Linked DNA regions of Mus musculus: region 1 is reported to be linked to region 2. Evidence: microRNA targets listed by miRTarBase, many of them from high-throughput screens and not tested one by one. Region 2 holds a microRNA gene; the other region holds the end of a gene's coding sequence.
What was found. The annotated mature microRNA mmu-miR-3100-3p reads CUGUGACACACCCGCUCCCAG and lies in region 2 at 3,016-3,036, opposite strand. An mRNA with a match to its seed (bases 2 to 7 or 8) in the 3' UTR can be bound and repressed. Matches are read on the target gene's strand: a 7mer-m8 pairs with bases 2 to 8, a 7mer-A1 pairs with bases 2 to 7 and ends in A, and an 8mer does both.

Region 1 (4,213 bases), not on the chromosome of region 2:
TACCTCCACCTCTGCAGCACTGGGAGGAGGCATGTACGATGCTGCTCTGTTTCTTATCTGGAGGAAAAGGAAGAAAGGAAGGAAGGAAGGAAGGAAGGAAGGAAGGAAGGAAGGAAGGAAGGAAGGAAGGAAGGAAGGGAGGGAGGGAGGGGGAGGGAGGGAGAAAGAGAGAGGGGAGGAGGGAGAGAGAGAGAAAAAGAAAGAAAGAAAGAAAGAAAGAAAGAAAGAAAGAAAGAAAGAAAGAAAGAAAGAAAGAAAGAAAGGAAGGAAGGAAGAAAGAAAGAGAGAGAAAGAAAGAGAAAGAAAGAGAAAAGATACCTTCTATTTCTCCTGCGGTACCCTACTTTCCCTCTGACCGGGCACAGTGTGTGGCTCCTAATAAGGGCTCAGGGCCCATGGCTGTGGCTCACTTAGTGGAGTGTTTGTATCTCAGTTCACAAAGCGCTCTCCTAGCATTCGTAAAGTTCCCAGCACCCCATAAAACAAACCAGCAGTGGATAGGCAGAGGCATATAGATCACAGAGTTTCAGGCAAGCCTGGTCGAAAGAGACACCCTGTCTCAAAAACAAAACAAATGGGAAACTGATCAGTTCAAGATCCTTCTCAGATGCGTAGGGAATTCTGGGCCTGTCTGGGCTATGTGAGTCATCACTCCAAAGAAATGCAGGCTCTCAGTAAACGAGCAGGCAAGTGAGCGGGTGAGGGGCGGGTGAGGGGGCCACAGGCAAGTTGAACTGTTAAAAAATTTTTATTAAAATGTCCAATAAGTCCATTAACATCCACAGTGTCAGATAGCACAGATCCACGGAACATCAAAGCTCCCAGAAAAACAAAAACAAAACAAAACCCAGCAGAACCTGTAGCCATTCTCGCACATACACACTCCTCCCGCATACTGGCCCAAGCAGACACACCAGGGAGGGGGAAAGCTGGAGATGAGGCTCCAGTCCAGAAAAGCCTAAAGCATGCCCCTCCATGGAGCAGGCAGTTCAGGGGCTAGGAAGAACCTCTGAGCCCCAGCAGGCCTCGCCCTCAATCCCCAGCAGGGGATTGGTGTGGTTCCTTCTGAATTAGAAAATGTTACCAAGAAGCTTTGTCCCCAGTCACAGGGACCTTTACGGATCAGGGTCCAGTTTGCTTTTCTCAACCATTTCCCAAGTCTGCTCGTGTGTGTGTGTGTGTGTGTGTGTGTGTGTGTGTGTGTGTGTGTGTGTGTGACAGCAGGTAAGGATTTTAGGTCTCTTCCCTTAAACATAAAGCAAAATTTGGAGCACAAATCAAGACCAGGGTTTGCGAATCGAACTAAGTTGGTAGCGTTCGAAGCACAGATAAGAGTGCTTGGAGCTCAGTTGACAGAGTGCTTGGAGCTCAGTTGACAGAGTACTTGGAGCTCAGGTGTAGAACATTTACTTAGTATGCACAAATCTCTGGGTTCCATCCCTAGCATTGTATACACCAGTCATAGTGCATACCTGCCGTTTTAGTACTTGGGAAACTGAGGCAGAAGGATCAGGACTTTAAGGTTATCCTCAGCTACTGAGTGAATTCAAGGCCAGACTGAGGCCCTGTCCAAAAAATCAACACTTACAGTAATTATAACGCACAGAAGGAAATTCTTGCTCTAGCTCCTCTATCGTAGTCTGTAACTTTGTCTTTCTCTTACAATCAAGTGGAAATGGGAGACTAAGGACCACGTGGGCTGCTGAGAGGATTCAAGGGCATCTCACAAGGCTTTACACGGCTTCTATTCAGTAACTGCCCCAGGCTTTCATTACCTCCTGTGAGCAATGCAGCTCAGTAAACACTTAGGAAGAGCTGGGCATGGACCCCAGAACCTGTGCACCCATCCCTGCCCTGACCCACCCAATCCTACAGTTTTTGAAATTTTTACTTATTTATTTTGTGCTTGTGCAGTGTGTGTGGGGGGAGAGGGTTGTGCGTGTGTTGGAGAATCACCCACATTGTAGTGTGCAGTGGAGGTCAAATGCTACCCTTTAAGGGTTTGCCGTGATCCTCCAGGCTAGCTGGCTCATGAGCTTCCTATAGTCTCAGCACAGGGATGCTGGCACCAGGGTTCACACCCTACCTGGCTTTTCACTTTTAAAACATGGGTCCCAGGGCTTAAACGGACTTCTTCAGGCTTATGCAGCATCTTTACCCACAGGGCTAAGCTCAGGCTCCACTGTGGCTTTAACACAAATTCATAGATTCTACCCACACTGCATGGGCTCTGTGAGGGACCCTGTCCCTGGCTTGGGAAGTCTTTTCTGGAGTGTAGATGGGAAGAGGGAATCCAAAGTGGATTATTTCACATTTTGAAAAATGTAGAACCGGGCGTGGTGGCGCACACCTTTAATCCCAGCTCTTGGGAGGCAGCGGCAGGCAGATTTCTGAGTGCGAGGCTAGCCTGGTCTACAAAGTGAGTTCCAGGACAGCCAGGGCTACACAGAGAAACCCTGTTTCAAAAAAAAAAAAAAAAAAAAAAAAAAGAAAAAAGAAAAGGAAACGGGGAAAAGGAAAAGAAAAAGAAAAATGTAAAACCAGGCGAGAAGGTGTGTTAGTGTGTGTACATGCATGTGTGTGTGTGTATGTGTGTGTGTTAATTCTAAGAGAATTCTTCTTTCTACCATAGGACCATGAACACTGTAAGCATAAAGTCCATCAGGCAGGATGTGGAAACAGAAGTGGGGTGGGGCAGGGATGGAATCTGAGGCAGGAGATTTATTGAGGTCTGCTAAAAAGACAGGCTCTGGGTTAGAAAACATGGCACCATCTTGGTTCAGGCAGAAGGTTGTCTGTCTCCCTGAGAGATGGAGGGGGAGGATACAGCAGCATCCAGCACATTGTACTCCACTGATCTCACTTCTGTGCACACGGGTGTGGGAGATTTTTCATCACAAAGCCACGAAACTGCCACACACGACGGCGTATGCCTGTCACCTTCAGGTGGTTGAGAAAGGATGATTGCTGTGGCCTGAAACCCAGCCTAGGCTCTGGAGATCTTACGTCAATAAAACCAAAGAAGGCTGGGCAGACAGTTCGCTGAGTTCCAGGTTAGCCTGGTCTATATAGCAAGTTCCAGGCCAGCCAGGGCCGCACAGTGAGGCCCTGTCTCAAAACAAAAACAACCCAAAACAGAACCACCAGATCTTAGCACTGCACTAGACCTGGGGAGTCAGCAAGACACTAGCCCTCCCCACCCCCATCGCTCGGAGTAACCTCCCCTAGGAAGCCAAGGAGGCCAGTGGCTCTAAGAGACATCACTAAAATCAGTATATAAGAGTTCCACACTAGATTTAGTGGTCTGAACCAAGACCAAAGACTAGGGCTGGTTAGCAGAGAGAGCCCTGCTCAGTACTAGGTGCCATGTCCAGCACCAAATAAACCAGGTAGGCATGGTGGTGCAGAGGCAGGAGGATTGAGACTTCAAGGACATCTTTCTACAATAGTGAGTTCGAGGCCAGCCTAGTTTGGGGGTTGGAGGTGTTGGAATTGGGAGGGAGGAAGAAGAAAGGGGAAAAAAAAAGAAAACCAGAGGAGTGGAAGTCACCCTTGGGGGATCCCAGGAGATGGCAGGCCATCATGTTTGCTCTGCTGGTCCTCCACTCAGATACAGTGACTTTAGCCAAACCTTCACCATAGATTCAGGATGGTCCACTGTTTCCTAAGCCTGAATCTCTGGTGCGAAAGCCACTCCCCAGCACACACAGACATACTGTTGCCCCTTGTGGATGCAGACTTCAGGACCCCCTTTAATGGCTGGGAAGTGACCTAGAGGCTCAGCCAGACCAGCATGGCCTCTCAGGCTCAGCCACCCCTTCCAGGAGGACCTCAGTAACAGAGGACCTACCGCAGGGGTGTGGGGCTCTGCAGTGTCCCCACCCTCTCTGGTGGATGCTGGGTTCTGGGTCCCCAAGGAAACACTCTGGAGAAGGTGTGGGGGCTTGTGCTTGATTAGCCTGGATCTTTAGCAGAAATCCCCTTCGTCTTTCTCCCAGTCTTCCGCTGGGTGTCTCTTGTGTTTTCTGTGCTCCTTGCGAGGCTTGTGATGTCGGTGTGGATGGTGGTGGTGTCTACGCATCCGATGTGACCGCCTGGCTGCAGGGATGGGAGAGATGAGAAGGGGTGAAGATGGCTGGCTGGATGCCACTGGCCTCCTCAGAGGGATGCAAAGAGAAAAACACTAGGAAGACAGGTGACCTTGGGAAGCAGA
Region 2 (4,516 bases):
ATGGAGAGACCCAGTCTCAAAAAGCAAAACAAAAATAAACAAAGTGCATGTGTAGCTGCTTTCCTAGTCTTATGTCCACTTGACACAACAAGCTAGAGTCATCAAGTCATCAGAGAGGAGACAGCCTTCATGAAGAAAATGCCTCTACAGGGCAGGAGCACTGGCTGCTCTTCCAGAGGTCCTGAGTTCAATTCCCAGCAACCACATGGTGGCTCACAGCCATCTGTAATGGGATCTGATGCCCTCTTCTGGTGTGTCTGAGGACAGTGATAGTGGACTCACATACATAAAATAAATAAATAAGACCAGCCTGGTCTACAGAATGAATTCCAAGACAGCCAGAGCTACATAGAAAGACCCTGTCTCTAAAAGACTAAGAAAGAAAGAAAGAAAGAAAGAAAGAAAGAAAGAAAGAAAGAAAGAAAGAAAGAAAGAAAGGAAGGAAGGAAGGAAGGAAGGAAGGAAGGAAGGAAGGAAAGTGCCTCAAAAACTGAAGCTGCAGGCAAGCCTATCGGGCATTTTCATAACTAGTGATCATAGATGAGAGCTCAGCCCATTGTGAGTGGAGCCCTCACTGGCCTGGTGGTCCTGGGCTCTACAAGGAAACAGGCTGAGGAAGACATAAGGATCAAGTCAGTAAGCAGCTCCCCTCCATTGCCTCTGCATCAGCTCCACGTTCCTGCCCCGCTGTGAGTTCCTGTCCTGGCTTCCTTCAGTGATGGGCTCCCATGTGGAAACGTAAGCCCGATAAGCCTTTTCCTCCCCAGCTTGCTTTTAGTCAGGGTTCATCGCAGCAGCAGAAAGCCTAACTTAGACAGCTCCTAGGAATACTTGGTTTGAAGACTGAGCCTTCAATTGAGTGGCTGTGGTGGGCCTGCACACAGGCCCCAGCAGGGGGCAGTCGTGCTCACCTGAAGGCCATGCAGCAGTAGGAGTAGCCCACGAAGGGCAGGCGCACCCCAAGGGGCATGTCTTCCTGCATGTCTGACAGCGTCTCCTAGGAAGACAGACAGGGCTCTTGTGGCTAGCAGTTATCCGAGATGGCCCTTCGCCCCTCTATGTTCACGGCATAACTGCCCCCACTAACAAACTCCACCATTTTCTCTTCTATCTTGTTGCTTTCTATTGGGGCTCTGCCCACACCAGACTTCTCTCTGCAGGGCCTAGAGCTTGTTAAAATGCTGAGAGCACTCACCCGAGAAAGGATCTCCTGCATCCTTCTGGGCTCAGCTAGTCTCCTCCTCCAGGAAGCCCTCCAGCACTTTCCAGGCTGGGTCAAGAGCCCAGCCCCCTACAATCAATTTTAGTACTGCCAAGAGTGAGGCCTCACTCACTGTCTTTGGGACTGGTCACCTGTGTGTCCTCATACCTGAGTGGATACATAGCAGTGCTCTAGGATAATAATTTGGGACCCAGGAAGGTCAACACCCCCTTTTTTATTTTTCAAGGGAGGATCTCACTCCTGACTGGCCTAGAAGTCACTATGTAGACCAAGATGGCCTTGATTTACCAGAGAGCCACCTGCCTCTGCCTATGAAGTTCTACGATTAAAGGTATGCACCACCACACCTGGCCAATCACCCCAATTTTATGGAAGAGGCTAGGGAAGTCCCCTCAACGGATCAGGAACTGCAGGTACGTACCCCGCCCCCGCTCACCATGGCAGTGAGCCGGTCCTCCACCACATCGAAATTGCATGTGTCCGTGGCACCCTCGAAGTCTGGTGTAAAGGGGGGTACACTGTCTCGGAGACCCTCCCAATCAAGGCCAAAGAAGAAAGGATGTTTCTGGAAATCACCTGCCCCACCTCGACCTAGCCTTATCTCAGCAGGACACAGCAGCCCACGAATGAGGTCCTGAGCTTCCTCGGGGACAACTGTGTCTGCCAGCGGCAGCGACAAGTGTTCCTATTTAGAAAGAAAAGCAACAGTTAGCCCTGGGCTGCAGAGCTGGCTCTGTCGTTTCAGTGCACTGGCTGCTCTTGCAGAGTGATCAAGGTTCTGTTTCCCAGCACTCAGCATGGCAGCACACAATAGTCTGTGACTCCAGTTCCAGGGGATCCCATGCCCTCTGACCTTCGCACACCTACTCAGTGCACAGATATACATACACAGAAAACACACACATATAAATAAATATCTTTTAAAAAAGACAGTCTGGGAGCACAAGCCACTAAGTCAGCCCCCCTGCATGGTGCTTGTGCTCACCCTGTAGTGCACAATCTTGGCATATGTCTCGGCTGTGGAGTCCGCGTAGAAGGGGGTCTGCCCATAGAACATCTCATAGGCGAACACGCCCAGTGCCCACCAGTCACACTCTGGCCCGTAGCTGCCTGCCCCAGGCCCTCCACCAACGGCCTGCAGAATCTCAGGAGACAGGTAGTCCGGGGTGCCCACAGCCACCAGCGACCTCACCTGTGCCAATCAGACCTGAATGCTTAAAACCTTTCCCTTGACTGTCCAAATATGGTGCGCAGGACATCCCAGACCAAGCTCCCCTCCTGCTCCTCAACCCAGCCCCGCCCCCTAATCCGGTCCTTCACCAATGAGGAGAGTTTCGCCAGGCTCTTCTTACCATTCCATCAGGCTGCAGTTTGAGGCAGGAGCCGAAGTCTGCCAGGCGAATGTGCCCACATCGGTCCAGCAGAATGTTATCTGGTTTGATGTCCCTGTGCATAGAGAGAAGAGGGAAAGTGTGCTTTCTTGAAAACCTTCCCTCTTAGGGCCCGTCAGCTCGATCCACTTCCACCCCACCCAGGATTCTACAATTCTAGACCCCGATTCTGTCCCCAATGGGATCTGACCTTCAGGTACCCTTCCTTCCCACACAAATTCTGCTAACCCTCCAAGGGCCCCGCCACGCCCACCTGTGCACGTAGCCCAGCCGGTGCACGGAGTCTATGGCCATGACAATCTCGGCCAGGTAGAAGCGAGCCATCTCGGCGGGGATCCGCTCCCCAAACTTGCTCAGCAGCGTTAGCAGGTCCCCGCCCACGTAGTATTCCATGACCAGGTACTGGGAGCGGGTGTGTCACAGGGGTTTGGTAGCCCCCAAGACTCCCAAAGACACCCCGTTCCCAAGCACAGAGGACCCCCGCACAGTGAGAGAGCGCCCCATCCAAAGGCCAAACCAGATATCACTCCTGTCTCAAGGAAGGTCTCTCCTATACTTGAGACACAATCCTACCCCCGTCCCCCATCCCCTGTGTGTGTCCCCCCCACCCCCACCCCCCCGATCTACAGCAGCTTCTCCCTTCTCCAGCCTTCTTGACTTGGGGCGATGTAACTGTCACTCTTTCCTAGTCACCTGAACCCGGAGCTTACCAGGTAGTTCTCATCCTGGAAGGCAAAGTGCAGCTGTGTGATCCAGCGCCGGTCCCCTTTCACTAATACATCCCTTTCTTCCCGGAAGCACGACACCTGTGAGGTAGGAGAGAAGCTACAGGAGGTGAGTTGGAGAGATGAGGGCGCTGCCCTAATCCCTGGCCCTCACCTCGCCTCTCTTCAGCATGTCCCACTTATTCATAATCTTCATGGCATACACTTGGCCCGTCTGTTTCATCTTCACCACCGCTACCTAAATACGGAACCGAGATGACAGCAAGAGGTGGCAGGGAAAACCAGCAAGGCTCACCCAGACAGGACTCCACCCTTATCTCCACCCAACCTTAGCCCCGCCCTCACGTGCACACCGCCCACTGACCACAAGCTCCGCCCCCACCCCTCCAGCCTTAAATTCAAGCTCATTCATCAATTTTTAAGGCTCTGCCCCAGCTGTTATGCCCCACCCACATCAAGTAAAGTTCCATTCCCAGGCCACTGAAGACTCACCTCGCTGAACGCCCCACGCCCGATCACCTTCAAAATCTCAAAATCATCCCTCTGCAGTCGGACCTCCTTAAGCCTTGCTGCAATGGGCTCCACTGGGCGGGGGTGGGGGAAGAAGAACCAAGGGTCATCAGAACACTAGCGGTAAGGGTAGTGACTTTATAGCCTCCTTCCTTCTGCCCCTTAAATCGGCTTTAGGATTCTGCTTTCAAAACCTCTGTGATGTTTGTGGGACCCAGAACTGCCTGTTTCCACAGGGTTGCAGGGCAGAAAGGGAGGCAGTGGGAGAAGCTGGCGCATCAGGCCTTTCACTCCCATGTGATGATCAGGGTGCTAAGTCAGGTCACCCGGGGCTCTCACTTAATGTCTCGGGCCACAACCTCGAACTGGAGCTGTGTCAGCACAGCCAGCACGAAGAAGAAGTGGGGGAGGGTCACTGCCCTCCAGCATCCTGGACACTGTTGGAAGGGCTTTCTTGGTTTCCAAAGGGTGAAGGAGAGTCTTCTTATAACCAAAGCTCCAGGGTATAAGGTCCTGTGCTAGGGTGGTTCAGCCAGAGGGGAGAGCAGCTAGGTCTGAGGCTGGCGACTGGGGGTGCGGGGTGGGCAGAGGGAGGTCAGATCTCCCTTAGGGAAGTTCTAAGGCCGGGGAGTAAGGATGGAGGAGGGACGTGTGGGGAAGCGGGGAGA

Region 1: miRTarBase lists Ncan as a target of mmu-miR-3100-3p. Seed matches in the 3' UTR shown: 7mer-m8 at 1,214-1,220.

Annotation. Positions count from the first base shown.
Region 1 is chr8:70,092,353-70,096,565 of GRCm38, forward strand. Ncan (neurocan) reads right to left here. Exons shown (of 15, transcript NM_007789.3): 15 at 733-4,098. The coding sequence ends at 3,968. Among named protein-coding and RNA genes, the nearest start is that of Mir7066, 8.1 kb to the right of the region's middle.
Region 2 is chr7:19,085,392-19,089,907 of GRCm38, reverse strand. It overlaps Mir3100 (microRNA 3100), which reads right to left and starts at 3,080; the gene lies at 3,016-3,080. Dmpk (dystrophia myotonica-protein kinase) reads right to left here. Exons shown (of 15, transcript NM_001379257.1): 2 at 3,831-3,922; 3 at 3,493-3,576; 4 at 3,324-3,419; 5 at 2,867-3,015; 6 at 2,575-2,668; 7 at 2,208-2,414; 8 at 1,644-1,907; 9 at 912-997.